Drosophila melanogaster: one gene and its partner. The protein of the gene in region 1 interacts with the protein of each later gene in a pairwise test. Each region holds a gene or a part of one and is shown on either strand. Other genes may lie near its edges.

The links. Proteins that work in one complex are often made in the same cells at the same time.
Region 2: the proteins of Inx7 (region 1) and CG6933 interact in a two-hybrid assay, tested with the Drosophila melanogaster proteins (one large-scale study listed by BioGRID).

What each region holds. Positions count from the first base shown.
Region 1 is NC_004354.4:6,991,085-6,995,222, reverse strand, and holds Inx7 (innexin 7), read left to right. Parts: upstream 1-1,610; 5' UTR 1,611-1,809; coding exon 1,810-2,043; intron 2,044-2,340; coding exon 2,341-3,050; intron 3,051-3,120; coding exon 3,121-3,493; 3' UTR 3,494-3,611; downstream 3,612-4,138. UniProt on the Drosophila melanogaster protein: Structural components of the gap junctions.
Region 2 is NT_037436.4:20,217,961-20,221,961, forward strand, and holds CG6933 (uncharacterized protein), read right to left. Parts: upstream 2,461-4,001; 5' UTR 2,392-2,460; coding exon of another isoform or gene 2,385-2,391; intron 2,276-2,384; 5' UTR 2,144-2,275; coding exon 2,101-2,143; intron 1,704-2,100; coding exon 655-1,703; 3' UTR 542-654; downstream 1-541. Other genes in the region: CG17145 (uncharacterized protein), read left to right, coding at 3,892-3,898, 3,960-4,001.

The sequences.
Region 1 (4,138 bases):
TAGTAGCCGTAATCATAGCAATTTCCTGGGAAACCCAAGTAGAGGTAAATTCGAGCAGTCAACCGGCTAAAAATGTTGCAATTACTAATATAGTTAACTGGTCTCTAGTTACGCACGACTTATAAATGTTATATGTACGTATGTAAAGGGGCCATTTTTGACTATCTTATCCGGCAAAGTTTTGGAGCGGCCACTTGAGCGCTTAAGTAATAAGCACCAAAATACAATGCCTAGGCGAGCTATTTAGATAAGCAACAGATATATGTAGATACTTATGAGCTGATAGTGCGAATCTCTGTTGGAATTCCGTTACATTCTAGAAAGTAAGTAAGCCAGTCACTCGTTGTCTTTTCTGGGGATTGACTGGAAGATAAGATTGTCGGGGCCAAAGAATGAAATACAATAGTGCGCAGGGTGAATATCCACCTGATTGCCTTGCGTGGAACCTTGCAACGATATCGCCAAAAAGGCAAACAGCCGAGCAATAATCCATCTTAAGAAGAAGAGTCTCAGTAAGTATGTACATAGCCCTCTGTCTAGCACTGATCTGGGTCAATACGATAACGCCAAGCCGATATATGTCCGCTTATCCAATTACTGTCCCATCCATCAGAATAGGCAGTATTGAATCAATATGGGTGGCGATAGCGGCACGCTTTAAGACCCGGAGAGTTCCAGATTACGGCGGAATTTGCAATTCCACACTTGAATGATTTCAATGCAAGTCTCTATGGTTATTCTTAAAACCAAGTGATCATTTCTTGCATCACTAAGGGATTTTTGCTATGTTTTTGGAAGTGTAACTAATTTGCTGATATCCTGAATCTCTTGAGTCATATATGTACATATATATTTTCCCGCACTGATTCATATTTCCTATGATTGTTTGCTTGGTTATCTTGGCCTCTTTGCTCTTGGATCTTGGATGAATTTCGATGGGTGGGAAGTTACTCACCCACCCACCAGGGCGAGATTTAGCCAACTTACCGATGAGGTAAACCCTGAGAAAATGAGTATTATTTTCATAATTTCTTTCGCTCTTTCTGTGACTTTCGTCTTATCATTTTCGGATTCTTATGAAGCCACGAGCCGAATACATGCCGAAGTACTCATGTTTGGGCGAAATTTGAAATATGACCGAAAAACTTCGGAGTTTTCTTGGGTATCAAGAGAGCCCTACACTGAAAGAATTAAATTGCTAACATTTTAGACTGAAACCTAAGTGACAAAGATTGTGCCCCTCTCTCAGCTTATACTGCGAGTCAGAAGCTGAAAAAAATTTCTTTTTTTTTTCTCATAGTCCAATAGTCTACGTAAGTCCTGCTAAGTGTAGCGCACTCCAGTAGGTTCTCATATTTCCCTTACTCTTTTCTTGGACAACTCTGAACTAAACACAATACCATTGCTGATTCGGCATTTCCGTGTATTTCTGCCCGACGAAGTTATCTTATCGGGCCCGGGCGACTCTCCTGGCCAAAAATGAGCGGTCGATAAGGCGCCAGAAAGCCCTCTCCGACGAATGTGGAATGGTGATGAAGATCGGCGAACGGGGACCGGAGACCGGAGACCGAAGGTTCCGAGACCCGGAGACCAAGTGCAGAGTCTCGAGCCTTGCAGTTACGAGGAGCTAGCCGCGGCAAGCGGAGCGCACAAATCCATCCGAACCCAGAAGCCAGCCCGTTTCCAATTGCCACCCAGCCATAGTTGTCGTAATCATCGTAAGAAAGTGAACGAAGTAGAAGTGGGATCGGATCGGATCGGATCGGGGCCAGAACCTAACCCAAAACCGAAGATAACGAAGGCGTTACAATGCTGAACACCTTCAGTTCGGTGAGGCAGTACCTCAAGTTCGATCTCACGCGTGTGGTCATCGACAATATAGTGTTCAAGCTGCACTATCGATGGACCTTCGTAATACTCCTAGTGGCCACCCTCCTGATCACGTCGCGCCAGTACATCGGGGAGCACATCCAGTGCCTATCCGACGGTGTTGTGTCTCCGGTCATCAACACCTTCTGCTTCTTCACGCCCACCTTCACAGTGGTAAGTCAGCGGGGTCACAAAGGGAAAATTATAAGAGGTCACCAGGGAATTAAAAAAAATATCTATGTACGGGGTACACAGAAGTATCTATTGAGAGCAACTGTTATCAATACTCTATTTGATTATTGGTTAAAACTTAAATAGGGTTAATCGATTTAGAGTCGTTTTATTGCTATTAGTTGGTTGATATATGTTGCCACATACCCATTCCTGAAATGATCAAATGATAGAATAGATTTTATTTATGTGCCTTGGCGGCAGTAGATCATTTATTAACATAGCTTGCACCCCAAATAGGTACGTGACCAGAACCAAACTGCCTACAGGCCGGGAAGTGAGCCACCTGGTATAGGGGCATTCGATCCCGAAAAGGACACGATCAAGCGGCATGCATACTACCAGTGGGTGCCCTTTGTCCTGTTCTTCCAGGCTCTCTGCTTCTACATTCCCCATGCCCTGTGGAAGAGTTGGGAGGGCGGCCGGATCAAGGCCCTGGTCTTTGGCCTTCGAATGGTGGGTCTAACGAGGTACCTGAAGAACGATAGTCTGCGTATCGGCAAGCTGAACATTCCCTCGATGGCGGAGGCGGAGGAGCGGGTCAAGGACATTCGTCGCACAATGATCGACCGGATGCGGCTGAATCAATCGTGGGGTGCCCACTTGGTCTTCGCGGAGGTGCTCAATCTGATTAATCTTCTGCTGCAGATCACATGGACCAACCGTTTTTTGGGCGGTCAATTCCTCACACTGGGACCACATGCCCTGAAAAATCGGTGGTCCGACGAGCTGAGCGTTTTGGATCTAGTATTCCCGAAGATTACCAAGTGCAAGTTCCACAAATTTGGTGACTCTGGCTCCATTCAAATGCACGATGCCCTTTGCGTGATGGCGCTGAACATCATGAACGAGAAGATCTACATTATTCTGTGGTTCTGGTACGCCTTCCTTTTGATTGTTACTGTTCTGGGACTGCTTTGGAGAATTTTAACCCTGTGCTTCTACAGAAAGTGAGTGGATGGATATAGGTGTGAAATATGTTTTCATAATGTGATAACCCTTCTAACCCACTTTAATTAGTGTCACATTTACCCGCTGGTCTCTCTATTGGGCCAAGCCTGGCCAACTGGACGAAAACGAATTATTGGCGGTAATTGATAAGTGTAACTTTTCCAACTGGATGTTCCTTTTCTTCCTGCGCTCCAACCTTTCGGAGTTCCTATTCAAGAAGGTTATCTATCATTTGGCTAGTGAGTTCCCCAATCCCGATCACGATAACGATGTCAATGCCTATCGAGAGGCACCGCCCACGCCCGCTAAGAACCGTTATCCGGAGCTCAGTGGTCTGGATACGATTGATTCACCACTCTTGCACCTTCGACGCAATGGCTCGCCCTCTGCCGGCGGAGCCCAAGGGCCATCGACTTCGGATATGGCAAAGTTACCTGTATAATTTATGCATTTCAATTAACGCTAGGCAATTAATTATTGGAGCTTTGTCTTGTTTACACCTGTTTTTTTTTTATATATATATATGATCATTTCATTATAAATATATTTATTATTAAGAGACTCGGCTTTCAGCTTTATCCAACAGGTTTTTTTCGGGGCTCACATAAAGCAAAATCTCTCAAAATGGCCGACAGAAAAACAGTTATTTTGTGTGAGGTATTTTGAAAAAAAAAGTGGGTAAAAAGCACAACAAAACCAAAACCGACCAGACACCTTTCGGAGGGGCGTGTGGGCGTGGCCGACAGTTTGTGTCGAGTGGCGACTGCGGTTGGGTGACCCAGTTCGAGTGATCCGTTGTGGTTTCGAAAGTGTTTGTTACTGAGCTGCAGTGTTCAGTTCAGAGCTGGGTCACAGTTTGTACCCTCCCATCTGACTGTGAAGTTTCAATAGATGTGCATGACGGTATCCCCGATTACGGACGGTTCTCCAGGTGAGTTATTGCTACTGTAAGTTTTATATATTTTCTATGGTTTTGGGAAGTTTAAGTGGTTTTCATCGAAAACATCCAGAGATAGGAGGAACTCAACTTCTGAAGTCAACGCTTCCAGCTGCATTAAGACATTTACACATGCCGCTCTGTCATAAC
Region 2 (4,001 bases), on another chromosome or scaffold:
CTCTTTTATTTTTGATCTGTCCTTTAGCTTGGTTCAACAGCGACTGACTGCCGCGCTCTCTGCAGAGTGGCGAGTCGATTAGTCGATAAGTTTCTCGATAATATTTGTATGTTAAGGATGGGTGTATGAGTGTATAAGCTTATGACTAGATTGGCTATGTATAATTAGGTATGTATGACTAAGAGTAAAGGAAGAGGGTAGAAGGAGCAGCCTACTACAATACTAGGCTTTGAAGTACTGAATTCAAAACAATATCTCAATGCTGACGTCAATCAAGTAACTTCTCCAGAAATTTCCCAAGCAATGGGGTTTTACTGTTCCACCTTCTTCTAATACAATAGATGGAGGCCATTGAATTTTTTTAATTAATTATTTAATTAACTTAGCTTGGCAGATAACATTTACAAATACCCATCCCGCAGAAATTATATTTATATTTTGAGGCACATTTTCTGTGAGCCTCTTTTTGAAAGATTTGCTACCAAAAAGGCGAACAACTAATCAACAATTTCAAAAACAACAACATTTAAAACAAATTTCGCTTGGTCGAAGTCAACATTTTTATTAGTTTCTTTTGAATGCCTTCAGCATTGGTATTTATTTATATATTTCATAAAAGGTATCTCGGCAAACAGACGTGGCTGGAGGAGATGCTCATGTACTAGCCGTCGAATTACAAATGGCGTAATCGGGAATTTTGGTGGTGCAGATATTGTTCACCTCGTCGTAGTACGGCGCATTGGTGGGACATGATCCGGTTATTCCGCTGGAGCAGATTGTGTAGTTCTTGCAACCCTCATCTGCCATGAATGGATTGTTAACGTTCCCACATCGGTTATGGGTACAGACAAAGGAGGCTGGCGAAACGCACTTGCCAGCATTGAATTGGGTACCGGTGGGACATTGGTTCCAATAGCCAGTGGCGTTTACTGCTGCACAGTAGTAGTACCCATAGCAGGTGACACCATCAGAAACGTACCTATAGTCAACAGATTCCCCATTTACAGTAAGTGGATCTGCTGCTTTAAAAGCTTCTTCGTCACAAGCAGTTGCATTTGTTTGCCCAACAGTGAACTGGTCAGAGTTTCCACTGTTTGAATCTTCGCCGGTGCACGGATTCGTCGACTGGCAGTTGCCAGTGGCTTTATTATAGTAGGGATTGGCGGTGCTGGAACATTTTTCGGAAGTGCCATAGCCGTTGACGCAGTTGATGTAGTTGCCGCACTGGTTCGGATCGCCTACAAAGATGTTGGACAACATGAACCGACAGATGGTGTCCTGCGGGCAGGCGGGTCCCCATATACATTTTGTGGAGGATGCCGAATAGACGCCGCCGGTGCCGCAATCGCCATAGGAGATTTGGCCTGTGCCATCGCAGTAGGCGTATTCGGTGCAGTTCAACGGATTGGCCACATACATGGGAGATTTGACGTTGGAGCATGTCTCAACGGCACTGGTGGAGCACACCGTGGTATTAGCGTAATCACAGCTGCCGGCCTGCGCGTTGAACACCAAGCCGTTGGGACAGGTGCCCCAGGCCACAACCTCCTGGTTCTTGCAGTATCCCCAGGCATGGCAGTTGCTCGGATTGCCGATGTATCCATAGCCCGACCACTGTTGGCACAGATCATCCATCGTGTAGCCGGTGGCCTGCGATGCCATTAGGAGACATGCGGCCACGACACAGATCCTCATATTGATTGCTAAATGGGGGATACAGGGGGATACGAACTATGAATTATTAAATAAAATATAGACATGTGTAATCGTCGAATAGTTTTCTATTTTGTTTGTACTTAATAATGCAAAGAAATTATGCTAGAAACGACAAAATTGATAGCTTTCAATCCAAAATTCGTGTTAGCGTCTCTAAAATTGGTTAAGCCTTTGTTGTAGCCAACACGGCAGCCCTTTTTTTGGATAAAAAATCAATTAAGGACGAAAGAAAAACTCAATTTGAGTAACAAATCGAAATTTGAAAGTCATTTTAGCCATTTTTGAAAGTCATCTCCTTTGCAGGAGAATTTCAGGGCCTTAAAACCATGTTTGAAACCACTTTTCAAAATTTAGTCGAAGCAAGACGTCTTGAATACTGTGCACCTGAGATAACTGTATCCGTTCTTCGAGCCAACGTACCTCCCATCTTGGAATGCTAATATTTTTCGGGGACAAATTCACTTGATAGACAGACGACCGAAGCGAACGTTCCGATTTCGTTACTAACTCAATCAATTGCAGCCTTTGCGTTTTTATAGTTGACAATTCGCGGCGCGAACTGGGTGGGTAATTAAAAAATTGTCAGCCAGATAAGCCAGCCGCCAGTAGGGCGTTAGTATCGAAATTAATGCTAGATAAGATTCTAAGGTCTGGGGTAAACCACGCACCTTGCATCCCTCCGAAGTTGTTGGGTTAGCTTGAAGGCGGTTCGAAGGCGTTGGACGACGAAAGTGAAACTAGCGGACCCGGCCAAAATGGACTGGCTTATAAGCTCAAATCGATTCTTGGCCAGCGGACACCATACATACTTAGTTTAGTATGTATATATAGTTTATATATATTTTTATACGTTGACAGCCGCGCCGGAATTTGGATTATCAGCTGCTGATTGCGAACCCTCTTTGTCTATAATTGTTTTTTAATTTCGAAGAAGCTCGAGGAGGCGGGAAAGTGTCACGGCTCTTATTGATCACTCAGTGGTGTTTCCCTGGTATCTCGGCACTCATTTCAGCAACACGACATTAGTTAGATATCTCAATTTGAATCGCACTGCGACTCTTGACTTGACTTGACTAGACTTTCCTCTGAAGGTTATCAGGTTCTGGGGAAAAATTACCGAACTACAAATGTTTATATTAATAACTTGTCCAAAAGAACCGTTTGAACTGAAATACAAAATAAATAAATCGCACTATGAAATTATGAAATTATGAGTTATATATATTTATTTATTTGTATGCATAATTAAATAGTACAATTATATGCAAGTATTTTGAAATTTTATTATCTATCTATATAATCTATAAAAATAATTGATGTTAATGTTTAATAACAAAAACCCCATTTTTTTAGTCAGTTTTATTTTCCGTTAAACTATTTTAAATCTATCCGCCTTATTTTATTGTTTCGCCTAAAAGCGAGTTTTGTCCGTTTAGAAATTCGCCCATAAGTATGCAATGACATTTAAACACTTTACTCGATACTTTTTCCAAATCACAAGGCATTTTCGAAGTAATTTAAATTCTTAAAAAATAGTTCAAGCTACGTGCTTATTTACTTTTTATATTTAATTGGTAGAGTACTAAAAATGTTTTTTTTTTTATAATAAAGAAGGGAAGCTCTCTATTAACCCACTAAGCCTTATGAATTAAACCAGCTGATCTTGCTCTTCATTTTATTACTATTTTTTGGCCGAAATGATAACTTATCTACTTCCTATTTAATTTACCGGTAGCCAATTGGCAATCTCCAACTTGTTTATAAAATCACCATTCACTACGACTAGAAATCACCCAGTACTTTAGCAACGAAAAATATAATTAATTTTTTCTGAAGTAAAATTTTATGAATGCTCCTTAAAAACATTAAATTTATAAATACAATTTTATCAAACATTCCCATTTTTTGTGCTCTATCATTTACCTTTTCAAAAATATTATATAGCAAATCCCTAAGCAAAATCAATACATTTGATTGTAATCTTCGAGCTTTTAACAAATGACTTCTATTCATCTTTATTTAACCCATCTTACCCAGTTGAATACCCCTCAAAAACCAATCCGCTTATCTTGCCAGCAAATAGTGATTGCTGCTTATCCTCTGATATTTATAAGTAATCGCAGGTCGACGTTCAGATTCAGTACGAGTTTATGCTTTGTCCAAAGTTGAGCTGTAATGGAAAGTGAGTGGATTGCAAACTGCCAGTGGTGTAAATCTAACTTTATTGTTTTTTCAAATTGCAGAATTTGGTGCCATACTGGGCGTGGCACTGGTGCTACTGCTTC